4 linked regions of the Saccharomyces cerevisiae S288C genome follow. The gene in region 2 interacts genetically with the main gene of each other region. Each region holds a gene or a part of one and is shown on either strand. Other genes may lie near its edges. The genes, in order: ESC2, UBX4, ROF1 and NAB3.

Region 1 (3,459 bases), on a different chromosome or scaffold from region 2:
ATTGATGCAGTTACACTACCAATTCTTGCCCTTCAAATCACCTTAAAGGATGATGGCTTGAATTTTATTTTCTGCTGATCTCGTAATTTATACAACCTTTTAGCGTTGATATCATAATATTATGATGAAACGAATTATTTTAATTGACTGCTGTAGCAACAATAGAGAAGTAGTTTACCTCTTGTTCCAAGAAAACTATAGCCGAGGAAATATCAAATTGTTTTGATAGTTGTTCTACGTTAGATGTACTATTCAAACCTAGCACGAAAAAGCTGAAGAGATTTTTGTATTCATTAGGCGATCAAATTTTTATAGAAAAGCGTTAACATGTTGAGTTAGAGATGGAAAAATTCCTTTATAATATTTCACGGAAGGTAGAAGAGGGTCAGCACCTACTTTTTGAACAGAGAATTACCCGAGTATGATTTAAACACAAAAGGTCTTATTCAATTATATTCAGAAAATATTTTACAAGTACCGCAAGCACCACCAACACACCCGCCGCCCATAGTAAATAATAATTGTGGCACGTAAAGAGCCGGAGTTCGGCCTTTTTTAGCAAATTGCGCTCAATCAATAATGACATCAACCATGTCTTCATCTTCCATATCCTGATCGGCTATACACTCATTCATGTCCAATTCATCATGATCAAAAAGTAATTTAACCCTCGTCTTTTGTGGTAACTGTTTCTGGATTCTGTAATATTCGGCAATTTTAGAAAATGGTGTTGAACGCCTAACATGGACATAGATTTTTTTGTTATCTTGACCCATGAGAGCGATTCTCATAACTTCTTCCATGCTACTACTATTTCCTGACAAAGAGCCACCCTCTTGCAGAAGTTTTGTATTCATAACTGTATCATTTTCTTTTATTTCTTGTGTTTCTTCTACGTTTTTTAATTCGGATTCAAACTCGCGATATTCGGACTCTTCTTGTTCATTTCTCTTTTTCTCTAACTTCCTTTCCATCTCCTGACGTTCTTTTATGAGTAAAGCAGCTTCTTCTTCCTTTAACTTTGATTCCAGTGTCGCTTCAAAGTTCTTTTCGTATTCTTTGGATACGATAGTAACATCGATATCAGAGACTTCATTTTCAAAATCCTGTGGGATATGTAGCGAATTACAAGTCATAAAAGTGAGTAATTTTGCATTGTTCCAATAAAGAGTAACATTCTCTACCTTGTATATATCTTTCATTACCTTCGGAATTTTATAGGACTTCATCAATCCGTCCAAAGCAGCAGGAAGTATTTTTGAAAATTCGTATTTTCCGAGGACCTTCACTTGGACCGCTTTATTTATAGTTCCTTCTAGCTTAGAGAGAAATTTGATGTTATAAACTCGCTTCCGCTGGTCGGGTGTCGATTCTTTAGAAATAGTGGTGCTTTTTTTGGCTTCTTTAGCAAGTTCCTTGAAAAAGTCATCGTTTTCATCATAGGTATACAGTAATGAACTTTTCTGTCGCTTGTATTTTCCCGCTGGAGATATTGATCTTATGCTTGACCTGGACCTTGACCTAGATCTGGGAAAATTTTTGTCTTCGTCTAAGTCAGATTCAGATGAGTTTATTTCAACTACAGACTCTTTCATCACAGATCTTCCTCTAGTTCGACCCGATGGTTTGTCTGGCTTGGGCTCCGTAATATCTTCTATATTTACATTTTTACTAGATGATCTGCTCAGGGACTGATGTTGTTCCTTTGCGTCGCTATCTTCACTATCAGATAATGTTAGAGTTGAATGCTTTGATGGCGGTACCGTGACTTTAGAGTCAACTATGACACTTTGCCTATTACTTTCATCGCTATGATCGATTTCATCTATATCATAGGAATTGTCCATAAAGAAGTCATCGCTGTTTTCATCAGAAAAACTTGTATTATCTGGATCTAGATTAATTGAGGGTTCGCTGATGCTTCTGGAATCACCGGTCATCTGTTAACAGCCTAAAACAAATGATTTTTTCTCTTGCCTTTTATTGTTCAGGGCTATAATCCGTGTTCGCAATCACTTTAAAATGAATTCTGAAGTAATAATGAAAAGTTGTTCTATTTCAATTGCGATATACGCTGTCAAAGTGATATATGGTATTGGGAATTCATAGGCATGCTGGTCCCTCCTCTGCCTGTCATTTCTTTTCTTATATGCTACAATAAAATTTGCTGTCTTCTGTAAGGAAATAGAAGGGATTCAGTATCACCCGGAAAGCTGCGGTTCGAAAACCCTACGTTGCAAAAGAAGATAAACAACATTCCATTTTTTGTTCGAGAAAGCCTGGATGAGTTGTTAAAGCTTTGATTTCTACTCAGTAAGAGCAGTTTCATGTCCTAAAAACTAAAGCTAGTACTCTTTGATCCATTAGCGAAATTTCTCTAACTTGCTCCATTGCGATACGTGTAATAATATATTAAGTTGTGGCGATGGCAGTAATACCGGCAAAGAAAAGAGGAAGACCTAGAAAATCTGTGGTAGCAGAAGTTCCCTATGATAGCTTGGCAAGCCCAGTATCTGAAAACTCAGGCAGTAAAAGGCCGAGGAGAAACGCATCTAAGAAAGCAGTTGCAAATTTCGCACAATTAGTGCATGCTGGTCGCGATGATGTGATAAATACTACACAAGTCAATAATGTTGATGACACCGACGATGATGATTTTGTATTGAATGATGAAGGTGATGGTGAGGAAAGTGACAATGTTGAGATAGAATTTGAGAATGAGTTAGAGTCTACTAAAAATGAGGTGGCGGATTTAAACAGTAGTGGAAGTGGAGCTTCTGTTAGACCCAGTGGAAGAAGAAATACTGTACAGAAACTTCGTTTGAAGAAGAATTCGACTAAAAATATGAAGAGCAGCTCCCCAGGGTCAAGTCTAGGACAGAAGGGCCGTCCCATCAGGCTCCTAAAAGATCTTTCGAGTGCAAGAGACAAGATTGAAAGAATTTATGGACTGAATAAGGAAAAGTTATTGTTGCTAGCAAAAGTTAAGGAAGGCTTTGAAACTAGCGTTTTCGATTTCCCATTCAAGAATATTCAGCCTGATTCTCCATATTTTGTATGCTTAGATCCACCGTGTAAAAAGGAAAGTGCATATAATAAAGTCATAGGGGATAAAAACAGAACCGTATATCATGAAATTAATAAGACTGAATTTGAGAATATGATCAAATTGAGAACGAAGAGATTGAAGTTACTTATCGGGGAAGTTGATGCAGAGGTATCCACTGGCGATAAAATAGAGTTTCCGGTGCTTGCTAACGGCAAAAGGCGCGGCTTTATTTACAACGTAGGAGGATTGGTAACAGATATTGCATGGCTTAATATAGAGGAAAATACTGATATAGGCAAGGATATACAATATTTAGCCGTCGCGGTATCACAGTACATGGATGAGCCTTTGAACGAGCATTTAGAAATGTTTGACAAGGAGAAGCACTCCTCCTGTATACAAATTTTCAA
Region 2 (3,788 bases):
AGTATTGTTCCAAATGACGGCAGAAAATGGTGAAATTTTGCCAGACAAAACTTTTTCTAAATTAATTGTGTCCACGTTCATGAAAAGCGGGGATTTAGAAGCAATACCTGCCATATTAACGTTTCTAACGAAAAAATTTGACTTGAATATTGATTACGATTTGAGTATGTATATTCTAAAGGGTTTGAAAAGACAATATTTACGAGATATTAGTAACATCAGTAAAGATGCTTGTGAGTACAAGTTACGGAAGGCGGAGCTAATGAATAATGAGTCAATCTTAAAAAACATTCCACAGGGTACAAATCAAGAGAATACAATATCCCATTTGATCAGGGAGATTTTGATCTTTATAAAATGGAAGGAAAAAAGTGATTGTTCTACTTTCTTGATGGTAGAAGATGCTTTTAAAGAATTAGGAACAGAGTTTACTTTACTCGAAGAATTAATAGAAGATGTAAATAAGTTAAAGATAAAAGCCTAAAAAAACGGATGCATTTTATATAATTTTAGCTATACGTGTACATATTTGTAATAAAGTTAAAAGAGGAGACTGTTTAGCTTTGTATTTATTTTTTACTTAATTTCATCCATTTAGGTACTCTATTTAAAGTCTTTTTGATACTTGTAGCGTTATCAGAAGGGCCCTGTGGATTGGATTTATTTATCGTATTAACTGATGGGGTTGTCCTCGTTTCGTGTGTGATTTTTTGTGCGTCTTCCAAAAGATGAGCCTTTATTAATGGGCCATTAGAATTTGAATTTGTTTCAAAAAGCAGCATTGTTTTAGAGCCAAATTCCAGGTCATCCAGTAGCTTCTTATCGTCTTTAGCCAAGGGTTTGAAAGGATGAGATTGGTTTAACGTAAAAGGCATGTTCTCATCGATCAGGAACTGCGACACGACGTTATAAACTGTACGCATGTCTTCATTGGGTTTGAATGCTATTTGAATATGGCTTCTATCGGGGAACTTGACTCTCAGCAAACACTCAGATATAGCCTTATTTTTCTTTGGCAAGTTGTTGGCTGATTGCTCTCTAAGTCTCTTTGTCAAAATAGGACCACCCAAAGTACCAGCCTTCGATGATAACATTTTTTGGTATTTCTTGGCTTGTTCTACTGTCAATTCATAATCTTCTTCATCCTCGATTTGATCCTTGATAACTGCTAATGGCTCATCCGAGGGCAAAAACACAGAAGGTTTATGTAGTTCGTGAGGTGGTAGTGAAGCAACCGTTTCCGGGTTCGTCATCGTAGGGGGAGTTTGTTTTGGGTGAATAGCGCTATTAGCGCTAATGCCCTCAGAATGAGATGTATTATTAAAAATCAATCTAACTGACGAAGGCTCCTGAATCCCTAAATTTTCGAGAGTCAAATTCTCATCCTTAATTGTTTTGAACTCTATTATCTTGGAAAAGACCTGGATCTTAAAATCATCTCCCGCAGCGCCGCTCATCTGTCGCAAGATAGGGGCAATTGGTTGGTCAGATGGCATTTCTTTAACCACGGAATCTCTTCCTGGGATTTGAAACCGTATTTTGATCGTATTGAATGGAATATCTTCGCGGTTGGTCTTATTCGCCACCGGAAAATTACTACTTTTAGATAATTCTAAGTTGACACCCGTTGGTAAGTTTAGAAGCCTCCATGGCAAATCTAATGGCACCGGTTTATCCAAATGTATCAATGACCAGTCGTTTGACGAGGTGTGCAGTTGAAAGAATTGTATGGATTGGTGTAACACATCGTTTAGTGTTGAATTCAACGAAACTTTACATTTGAAAAGTTGGAAGTTATACTTCACGGTAACCATAGGCATTGTATTGTGCGCTTATTAGTCTGCCTTGCTATTCTTCGCAGTACGTAGATTTATCTTAGTTTTTGCATTTTTTGGTTTTCTTTTTTTTTTGCCACACATAGTACAATAAAAGAGAACTTGAATCTTTGAAGAAACGTCTAAATTAACATCGAAGATAGAAGACAGGGAAACATCTAGGATTGCAAGAAATAGTGCTGAAATTTTGTAATAAAGTTGCAAGAAATAGCATCTAGCGTTTTATAAGGCGTACATCTTTCTTGGCAAGAGTTCCAAGAGAAAAGAGGAGCAAAACAGCGGTTGAGGCGCCCGCTATCTTGAATATTATACAGTTTCTTTAAAAACGCTTGTACAACACTGCATAAACATGGACAAATTATTGAAATTGTTTCAAGATATTTCCCATATCATATTCCAATAGCGTTACTCTCTCATCGCTTATTCTGGAATCATTATTTTAATAAAGATAACTCACACGATATACGTGTACTGAGCTGACCTTTATACCTACCCTTACCTGCTTATTCCTGATAAAAATGTTCGTGCAACTAATTGTTTGATTTCTCTTGCGGCCCGGTTATTCCGGAGTTGATACTTTTTTTCTTCTGTCTTAATTACGTTTTTTTCCTCTAGACTTTTTTGATCTGGTACAATTGAAAATGTATAAATCAACTGGACCCTAAAAATAAAAAAAAAAAACGCCCATTAGAAAAGAGGATATATTGAACAAAAGATGTTGAAAGAGCCCTCAGTTCGCTTGCGGGAGGCTATTATTGAAGGCAATTTACTTATAGTGAAAAGATTATTGCGACGGAATCCGGATTTGCTAACCAACATAGACTCAGAGAACGGATGGAGTTCATTACATTACGCCTCATACCATGGAAGATACCTTATATGCGTGTATTTAATTCAGCTGGGGCACGACAAGCATGAACTAATAAAAACCTTTAAAGGAAACACCTGTGTGCATTTAGCATTAATGAAAGGGCACGAGCAAACCTTACATTTACTTTTGCAACAATTTCCGCGATTTATCAACCATCGCGGAGAGAATGGTAGAGCCCCCATCCATATAGCATGTATGAACGATTACTACCAATGTCTGAGTCTGTTGATAGGAGTTGGTGCTGATTTATGGGTAATGGACACTAATGGCGACACGCCGCTGCATGTATGCCTGGAGTATGGCAGTATAAGTTGTATGAAGATGCTTCTCAATGAAGGTGAGGTGTCCTTGGATGATAATGTCAGGGACAAGGGAAATTGGAAGCCAATAGATGTAGCACAAACGTTTGAAGTAGGTAATATATATTCAAAAGTGTTAAAAGAGGTGAAAAAGAAGGGGCCACCGTTGGGTGCAGGCAAAAAACCAAGTTCATTCAGAACTCCTATACTAAATGCGAAGGCCACTTTCGAGGACGGGCCTTCCCCAGTTTTAAGCATGAATTCGCCATATTCGCTCTATTCCAATAATAGTCCGTTGCCGGTATTACCAAGAAGGATATCAACGCATACAACAAGCGGTAACGGTGGGAATCGGAGGAGTTCTATCACAAATCCAGTATTCAACCCACGAAAACCAACCTTGTCTACGGACAGTTTTTCGTCAAGCTCAAATTCCAGCTCGAGACTAAGAGTGAACTCCATCAACGTCAAGACTCCAGTAGGTGTGTCGCCCAAGAAAGAGCTTGTATCTGAATCAGTACGACACAGTGCAACACCAACAAGTCCGCACAACAACATCGCGTTGATTAATAGATACTTGTTGCCTAACAAGAGCAATGACAACGTGAGAGGAGACTCACAGACAGCTACAATCAACGATGACGGTGGCGGCGGCAATGGCGGTGATGCCACTATAGGAATGGGACTAAGAAAGGACCCGGACGATGAGAACGAGAACAAGTACAAGATTAAGGTAAACAATGGCGAGCCGAGGAGACGAGTGTCACTTCTGAACATACCCAT
Region 3 (3,741 bases), on a different chromosome or scaffold from region 2:
AAGGATTTCAAAAACTGCGAGTTTGCCCGTGAAAAAGTCGTTATTGTGGTGGGAAACGGCAGTTCCGGCCAAGATATTGCCAACCAACTAACTACCGTTGCAAAGAAAGTATATAATAGTATAAAAGAGCCTGCGAGCAATCAACTGAAGGCCAAGTTAATCGAGACTGTCCAAACAATAGACAGTGCCGATTGGAAAAATCGTTCAGTTACTTTATCTGATGGAAGAGTACTTCAGAATATAGACTACATTATTTTCGCCACAGGCTATTATTACAGCTTTCCATTTATAGAGCCCTCCGTTAGACTGGAAGTGCTAGGTGAGGGTGTTACTGGCGACAAGCACTCGTCTGTCAATCTGCACAATTTGTGGGAGCACATGATCTATGTAAAAGATCCTACGCTGTCCTTTATCTTGACCCCGCAGTTGGTCATCCCGTTCCCGTTGTCGGAACTACAGGCGGCTATTATGGTCGAAGTATTCTGTAAAAGCTTACCGATAACTACAACTTTCGACTCTAATGCCTGCGGAACGCACAACTTCCCAAAGGGAAAGGACCTGGAATACTATGCAGAACTACAGGAACTACTGAATAGCATTCCACGTAGGGTCGGTCATTTCGAACCAGTTGTATGGGATGATAGACTGATCGATCTAAGAAACAGTAGTTATACAGACAAAGAAGAAAGAAATGTGCTTCTAGCGGAACACGCACAAGCCCTAAAGAAAAAAAAAGCACCATACTTCCTTCCGGCGCCACATACTTAACGTAAAAAGGAATGTACTTGTATAGAAAAAACACATATTGTGCCGCTTAATATTTCGTTTCCCTCATGTATATACCTTATCGCTGTTAAAATAAGAAATCTTCACTTCTGCTATCTTTTTTTTTCAAACATTGATTAATAATCCGGCCGTCCGCAGATTGCTTACGCAGAATATACCGTACCGCCACCGTAAAATTAACGAATACTTAAATTTCCGCCTCTTCCGTTTCGGCAATAGCGAACCTTAATGTAAGTTTTTAAAAGGCAGCGCCAAAAATTGCTCTGAAAGGCCTGCAGTGCTTCGCGGCTACGCAGTTCCCATGTAAAAAAAAAAGAAAACTTTCTTTTTGAATCTGGAAAATCCGCACAGGCGCGCCAGCATAAACCTCAGTATCCTGCAAAGGCCATCCTTTTAAAGATCTTAACAACGTATGAATCTGAGGCAGAGAGAAATTAAGCGATAAACGTTCCTTTTAGACTTTCACTTTCTTGGCCGTCATTTAAAAAAAAATTATCTAATAATCTCTAATTTTAAGTTGAAATCACGCTAACATATGACTATGACTATTAACCTTTTTATGTGGAAAAAAAAGGAAGAATATGTTGTAAACGTATTTTAGCCTTGTTCCCGGAACTTTAATCACTCTGGCAACTTTTTAAGTAGTCTGTCTTTTTCTCGGTCGTATATTCCTCAAAATTCAAGAGGAAAGAGGAAGTGAAGAAGAAAGCCTAGAAAAAAAAAATAGGCATTAACACAAAAACGCACCTAAGGGACTGAGGAAAATCAAAAAAATGATAATTGCAGTTAGTAAATCTTCATAATCGACGCCCACTTATTCTTTCTTTATAGTACCGGGTAGGCGGGTAATTCATACGTAGCTGCTGCGGGAGAACTACTATGTATCATTCCCTGTTTATTTGTATGAATTATTATTTAATACGTACATTCTTGTAAGCCCTTCTTCAACAAAACAAACAAATAAAGCGAGAAAAAAGGGAACCACGAATTAAGATAATTAATCAAACAATAGATAGGAAAAGGAGATCGACGAGTAAGCGTAAGAATGATGGATATCAGCCCTACCTGTTATGGGTACATCGACGACGAGCAAGATCTAGCCCTTGTTTTCCAGGGCGTATTCAATGGAAATTTGAGATGCATCGAACGGAGGCCATATGATGCAGAAAAGGTTGAATTAGTCAACCCCGGAAACATTTTTGTTTTCAACGAAGAGAAATCCGGCATCAAAAGATGGACAGATGGTTTTTCTTGGTCTCCTTCAAGAATTTCAGGCAAATTTCTCGTATATAGAGAGTATAATAGGCTGGGTTCCACGCACGATCTACCGCTGCATAATGTACCTGAGTATAATATCTTCGAGAGGGCTCATAGGAAGTATTTTTATACTGGACTACTGAAAAAAACATTTTCTCTAAAATTCAATATGGATCCCACCGACAGCACTAAGCTGGAAACATTTCATCTTATTGCGTACTATACGGAAAAGGATATTCATCAAGGAAGTTTGAGGAGACCTTCAGAAAATCCTTTCTTCCATAAATTTCGACCTTCACAGAAACTATTAGATGCTTTACAAAAAGTTGCTGTAGGAAATGGCAGATCTAACCCGTCTAAAAATAATGAGAGAGGCAGAACCAAAGCTCATAATTATAAAACGCGCAGGTCTTTATCATCTTCTCCGAGCTATTGTGATCTCTTGAGCAATTATAACAACCATCCTGGAAATATTCCAGTTAGGACCGCAGTTCAGTTACCTTTAACCACCTTCAATAACGCTCCTCGAGAAATGCACCAACAGCAGCACCGACAACAGCAACAATATCTCTTACCCATAGATGAACAGAATAAATTACCTCTCCCGTATATGCAGCACCAGCCACAACCAATTGGTGTTTACAATCCTAACTATCAGCCTGGATTGAGACGTACGGTCTCACAACCTATGATTTTCTGCAATACATACAATACTCTCCCGCAACAACCTACTGCAGCACCTTATGAACGGCGTGGCGTGTCGCCTTCAGTGATATACTCCTCCAATACATTGAGCCCAATACCATACCAAAATATCGATCCATACTCTTCGAGGTCGGGTCCTGAATGCAATCACTCTAAGGCGCCTATCGCCCCAACAATGATGCCCCCAGTACACCATATACTTGTGCATGATTACCGACAACCAAAACCAGTCACAGATTCTATTAATCCTCCAAATGTAAACATAACCACCTCCACAACCAACAAGAACCTAGATGGCATTTATATTTTGCCAGCTCCTCGTATGAATCCCCCGGCTCAAACACAATACCAAATGATTCATGCGCCAGACAGCATGCAACATCCACCAACATTTAGTAAAAACAACACATCAAGCAATCCTAAATCCCACCAATACTCAAAGTAGAAGATCAGCATCCTTTCAATTGCTGAAAGGTTCACCTAAAGTACCGCTCATATTCCAAAAGGATTCTTCACTACATAGAAAGGGCAGCCAATTGTGTGTTTTTCAGAAAGGGTTTTAAAAAAACAGGAGGGTGCTTGTTCTTGTTGTTCCCTACCATCGATGGATTTCGAAAAACTATTTATAGGACCATCTGATTTTCACCTCCATCATTGTATCATATACTAACAAGCATATCCAAATTTGTAATTCTATCATGAAATTTCCAGAGAAAGAAACGCAAGGGAACTGAGAAATCAAACCTAAAAACGGTTCTTGGCATTGTTATGAAAAATGAATAAACCAGGGGGGCAAAACAATCGAGAACCCCAATCAAAACCATGTGAGATACCCACTTCGAAAGTTACTGATATTATAACTCTTGTGTCCTCTCTTCTAATACCTTACTTTCACCTTTCTCACGTAGTTAAAGTTGCAACAACACATTTTGTCCTCATCCAATTTCTTCTATAGAATATCCGTTTGCCTCCAGGAGTGAAGAAATGATAGCA
Region 4 (4,599 bases), on a different chromosome or scaffold from region 2:
AAACTAAAATAAACGACAGGCAGATGACTAAAACAAATCAAACAAGAACCTCTAGGGAAAGGTGTCCTAAGCGCGGAACTTCTTTTCGTTATGGGGTAAATAGAGCGGTACTTAATAATCTGTTTACAAAGCAATTTTACAAAGTTTTGATATAAGAACATTTAACTAAAGAGAAGAAAAAGAAATGAAAAGCCATTCTCTTGGCAGAGGAAACAAATGAAGAGGTGCGTGTAAGTGAAATAAATAGACCAAATAGCATTTGATAAGGAAGAAATAAAAGAAATTTATAACAGGGTAAAGAGTTTTTCGTTCTGAAAGAGATGCAGCAATAGTAAGAATTAAGTCCTAGTCCAATTTGGGAAGGGAAAACGATTAAAGCATAAACCGCTATGTCGAATTTATGCAAACCATATCAATCTACTTTCCTTAAAAATTTTTCGTCCAATTAAAAGAATTCAAGTATAATGTACAAGAAATGGAAAAGATTGAAAAAAGGGAGTCTATTTTTGTAGTTTTGCTAAACTATCTAATAGACTTTGAACATTATTGCCAGCAGGTTGCTGTTGCTGTTGCTGTTGCTGTTGTTGTTGTTGTTGTTGTTGTTGAGGTGGCGGAGGTTGGTGTGACATTGGTGGGGCAGAGGGTTTTGCAGATATATTTTGACCATTGTAATTGGTACTCATAGGAGGGGGAGAGGATGAGTTCATAGAGGAATATCCACCCAACTGTTGTTGCTGTTGTTGAGGAGCCTGGCCTTGCATTGATTGTATTAAACCAACCAATTGCTGCTGAGCATGAGGTTGTTGTTGCTGTTGTTGGGCCATTGAAAGCAAATTCGATACAACGTTAGGTGGAAGGTTTTGAATGGCAGATAATAGTTGTTGCTGGTCCATTGGAGTTTGAGAAGGTGGTTGAGGAGGCGGACCAGCCTGATAACGACCATACCCTTGAGGAATTTGTTGTTGTGGAGGTGGTGGTGGAATAGAAGTCTGGTAGCGACCGTAGCTCTGATTCATTGGAATTGGAGGTTGAGAACCATATCCTTGGTCATGGGATGGTGGTGGCATCCCATAATTACCATATGGCTGTTGCTGTTGTTGTTGTGGAGGAGGCATACTGTAACCCTGGTAATAGTTTGTTTGAGGAGGAGGTCCGACAGCTGGGCCGTTTGGAACAGGAAGAGGAGGAGCGCCATATATGTTTTGCTGATGGCTCATAGCACGGTAATCAGTAGGACGAGAATTATTTCTGTTGTTTTTGATGTTATTAAAAATGGCAACTGCGTCATCAGCGGATATGCTAATATATTCATCAAATTTCGTTTCACCTTGTGAGCCTTTGTAGAAAGTTTGAACATCTACATTGTGTGTTTTATTAACTAAAACAACGCCCCACACCCCATTATATGCGGCATCATTGATAAGCTTTCCCAGTTCCATTCTTGGTTTCAAGAAAATCATATCAGTTTCCAAACCAGTCCCGTCCCTAAACCTGTTGAAAACCTCAATGGCATACGTACGATCTGCGGTTCTTTTAACGAAAATGTTGCAAGAAACGGTGTGTCTTCTGGATTTCTTGTAGCCAGCACCATTGTCGTCATTGTACATGTCACCAGATTCAGTTTGAAATGGTCGTTTTGCGGAAGAAATAAAAGTAGAACTACTGTTTGTACCGTGATCACCATGATCAAATTGAGGACGAGCATTCGAGCTAGAAACTTCCAGGATCAACTTTTTGCCAAAGTTCATTTCTTGAGACTCGCATTCAATTGCATCTCTAACGCTTTGAGGGTTGTCAAACTGAATGAATCCAAAGGCATTTTTGATATTGATTTGCATGATATGACCGTATGGAGAGAAAATCCTAAATAAATCCTCCTTAGAAACGTTCTTTAGCGGCAAATTACCAATGAATAATCTTGACTTCGGAGGAATATTGTGCATCTCGGTGATTTTATTTTCACCGTGCAAATAGGCTGCATAACGGTCGTGTTCTTCTTCGGTAATCGGCTTAGATAAATCCGCCCTAGGAAATCTCATACGTCTTTGGGCATCTGACAATGGAGGTTTTCTTTGATCATTGCTTCTTGCGCCGCTTGTGGCTGAGGCGCTAGCTGTTGTTGAGATAGTACTATCATGAGGAGGTACGGAAAGAGCTGTGTCAGAATTTGAATTTAACATTGCTAAAATCGCAGACATCTTTTCTTCTTGAGGTAAATGTTGAAACTGAGGCAAATTTAGCATGTTACTGTCCATAATGTACTTGACTTGCTTTTGTAAAAGATCGTAATTAACATTTTCCATATTAGTTGGAAAGTGAGTATTATCATTTTCTTCACGAGTTATTTTTTTTATAGCTTCATCTACGTCCTTTTGTTCTTTTTCCAATGTTTCACGGCGAAGTTCGACCTCTTTATCTTTGGTTTTATCCTTTTTGTCTTCCTCATCCTCACCGTCTTCAGCGGCACTATCTGAGCCTACCGAACTGTTGTCGTTGCCTTCTTCTTCTTCTTCTTCTTCTTCTTCTTCATCATCATCGTCGTCATCATCATCATCGTCATCATCCTCTTCTTCCTCTTCTTCCTCTTCATTATCATCATCGTCATCATCATTTCCGCCTTTTTGTTGATGTTCTTCTTCTTCTTCTTCTTCTGTGTTTATTACTTCCCCGTTTTCCTCTCCTTTTTCCTCCTTATCTTCCTCCTCTTCATCGTTCACATCTTCCAGTTCGTGTTGTTCTTCATTTTCCTCCTCCCTTTCGGCTTCTCTTTCTTCCTCTGGGGCGTCAAATTCGATTCCATCGTCTGCGCTTGAGTTATTCATCAATTCATTCTCGTTAGAGTTACTATCGACGGATAGTTCAGGTGAAGGAATATCTTGAACATCACTGTTATGGTTTTCATCTGACATGGCTTGCAGATGGTTATTATATTATGAAAGGACAGTCCGGGAAAAACGTAAGTCAATTATTATATTTTGACCAAAGAAAATCGCTTGTTGCTGTGCAGAATCTAATAAAGATGCTCAAGATAGCTTTTATTAGACCTTCATTTAGAAGTGGCAAAATCAAATGAATTGTTTTTTGTCCTTTGCTTCTTCCGCTTCATTTTCTCTTCAACAATTCAGGGTTACACTCAATCACGTGGGATACCATAATTTATCGTTCTACAAAAAAATGCAAGCACGAACTAGGGCGGTAGTTAGGAAGCGAATAAGAATAGCGCTTTTTCGTTTCAATTTGGAATATTAAAGAGTGATATTATTAATGGTTTTCTTTTTTGGAATGTGATCTATATACATATTTAAATAGTCTCTTTTGTATTTGTGGTGTCATAATGAAACTGCATCACACCAGATGCTTACCCATACAGAAAGTCGATTGATTATGAAACTTGAAGTAGCGAAGATTACGGCACTCGAAAATAAATAAAAAGAGGAAATAAAAGAGATAGAATACAACTTATCAAAAGTTCCAGATAGCCCGTACCTGTTTAAATCTTTTTACTTAAAGCATCCTTCCTCTTTAACTCCTGCTCATGAGCAAGCTGAAGCTTGTGTTGCTGTACAGCTGGTGAATCAGAATCCACTGAATGTGCTGGACATGGCAGCACAGAACCGATGGCCACTGATGCGAATGCAATGAGAAATGTAGAAAAGTATAGGTTATTGACTATTTTGTTTCTAGTGACTGCTCTCATGATATGTGTCTGAATTAAACTAATTGGCCTTCCGTGCCTGTAAATTCAATAAATAAATAGGATGTTAAATTTTCCTAATGTGTCTCGAGGTGCTTATGTTATCGTGCAAGCGCTGAGTTCGAAACGCTGTTTTGATGAATATCCTATATATATCAAAAGTACAAACACGGGGAAAGAGAGCCATCCCATCAAAAAAAATAAAAAAAGAAAACCCTTGCAGAAGGAGAACTGGTGTAGAGGTTTCCGGTCTTAATGGACTTAAGCACGTGACTTTTAAAACCCATGCATCGGTTACTATGGTTACCATTACTTACGATTTTTTTTTTTTCGTTATGAACCCTGTGCCCGAGGGGTTTTCAGGCACATAGATCAAAGTTCTACTCGTTTACCTGTAATCTTGGCGCGTTTAGGTCTCTTTTTTTTTCTTTTTTTTTTCTTCTTTTTTCATTTGTACTGCGTTATAGTTGTTTATGGAAGGTACCAATGGTGAATATGGAAAAAATGAAGTCAAATAGAAGAAGAAAGAGAAGCTAGCTTTGAGGTAGGTACTGTTTTGAGGGTTTTTGGGTGCTTCAAATTTGTCTTCTCAACTACCTTATTATAGGGCTCAAAAATAATTGACGTCATCGCTACAAGTCAGATGTCGATGTTAAGAATCTGGAGTTGCATCGTACATTTCTTTTCCGTGCAGGCACTTGATTCACGAATAAAGCCAGACATTGAATTCAAAAGGCGACAAAGGATATTTATCAATTCATCTAAAGAAGAGAATGGTTCATCTTCTAGTGCCGTTACTGTTACCCGTAACCCTGTGCTCAGCTCTAATAGCCCATCTCCTCCGCTATGGAATACATGGGAATTTAGACTATATTATTTGGCGTTCACCGTAGTAGTTCCTTTCA

The links.
Region 1: mutations in UBX4 (region 2) and ESC2 together harm fitness more than expected from each alone (negative genetic interaction), as found in Saccharomyces cerevisiae (3 studies listed by BioGRID).
Region 3: mutations in UBX4 (region 2) and ROF1 together harm fitness less than expected from each alone (positive genetic interaction), as found in Saccharomyces cerevisiae (one large-scale study listed by BioGRID).
Region 4: mutations in UBX4 (region 2) and NAB3 together harm fitness more than expected from each alone (negative genetic interaction), as found in Saccharomyces cerevisiae (2 studies listed by BioGRID).

Annotation. Positions count from the first base shown.
Region 1 is NC_001136.10:1,197,664-1,201,122, reverse strand, and holds ESC2 (Esc2p), read right to left. Parts: upstream 1,941-3,459; coding exon 570-1,940; downstream 1-569. Other genes in the region: transcription factor TFIIIC subunit TFC6, read left to right, coding at 2,426-3,459. UniProt on the Saccharomyces cerevisiae protein: May be a substrate targeting component of a cullin-RING-based E3 ubiquitin-protein ligase complex RTT101(MMS1-ESC2). Involved in HMR and telomere silencing via the recruitment or stabilizing of the SIR (silent information regulators) complex.
Region 2 is NC_001145.3:403,754-407,541, forward strand, and holds UBX4 (Ubx4p), read right to left. Parts: upstream 1,821-3,788; coding exon 570-1,820; downstream 1-569. Other genes in the region: SOV1 (Sov1p), read left to right, coding at 1-484; AVO2 (Avo2p), read left to right, coding at 2,551-3,788. UniProt on the Saccharomyces cerevisiae protein: Involved in CDC48-dependent protein degradation through the ubiquitin/proteasome pathway.
Region 3 is NC_001140.6:454,760-458,500, forward strand, and holds ROF1 (Rof1p), read left to right. Parts: upstream 1-1,831; coding exon 1,832-3,193; downstream 3,194-3,741. Other genes in the region: FMO1 (N,N-dimethylaniline monooxygenase), read left to right, coding at 1-768.
Region 4 is NC_001148.4:184,817-189,415, forward strand, and holds NAB3 (Nab3p), read right to left. Parts: upstream 2,910-4,599; coding exon 501-2,909; downstream 1-500. Other genes in the region: COA2 (Coa2p), read right to left, coding at 3,491-3,697; GUP2 (putative O-acyltransferase), read left to right, coding at 4,338-4,599. UniProt on the Saccharomyces cerevisiae protein: May be required for packaging pre-mRNAs into ribonucleoprotein structures amenable to efficient nuclear RNA processing. Binds to poly(A)+ RNA. Appears to act in the maintenance of CLN3 mRNA levels.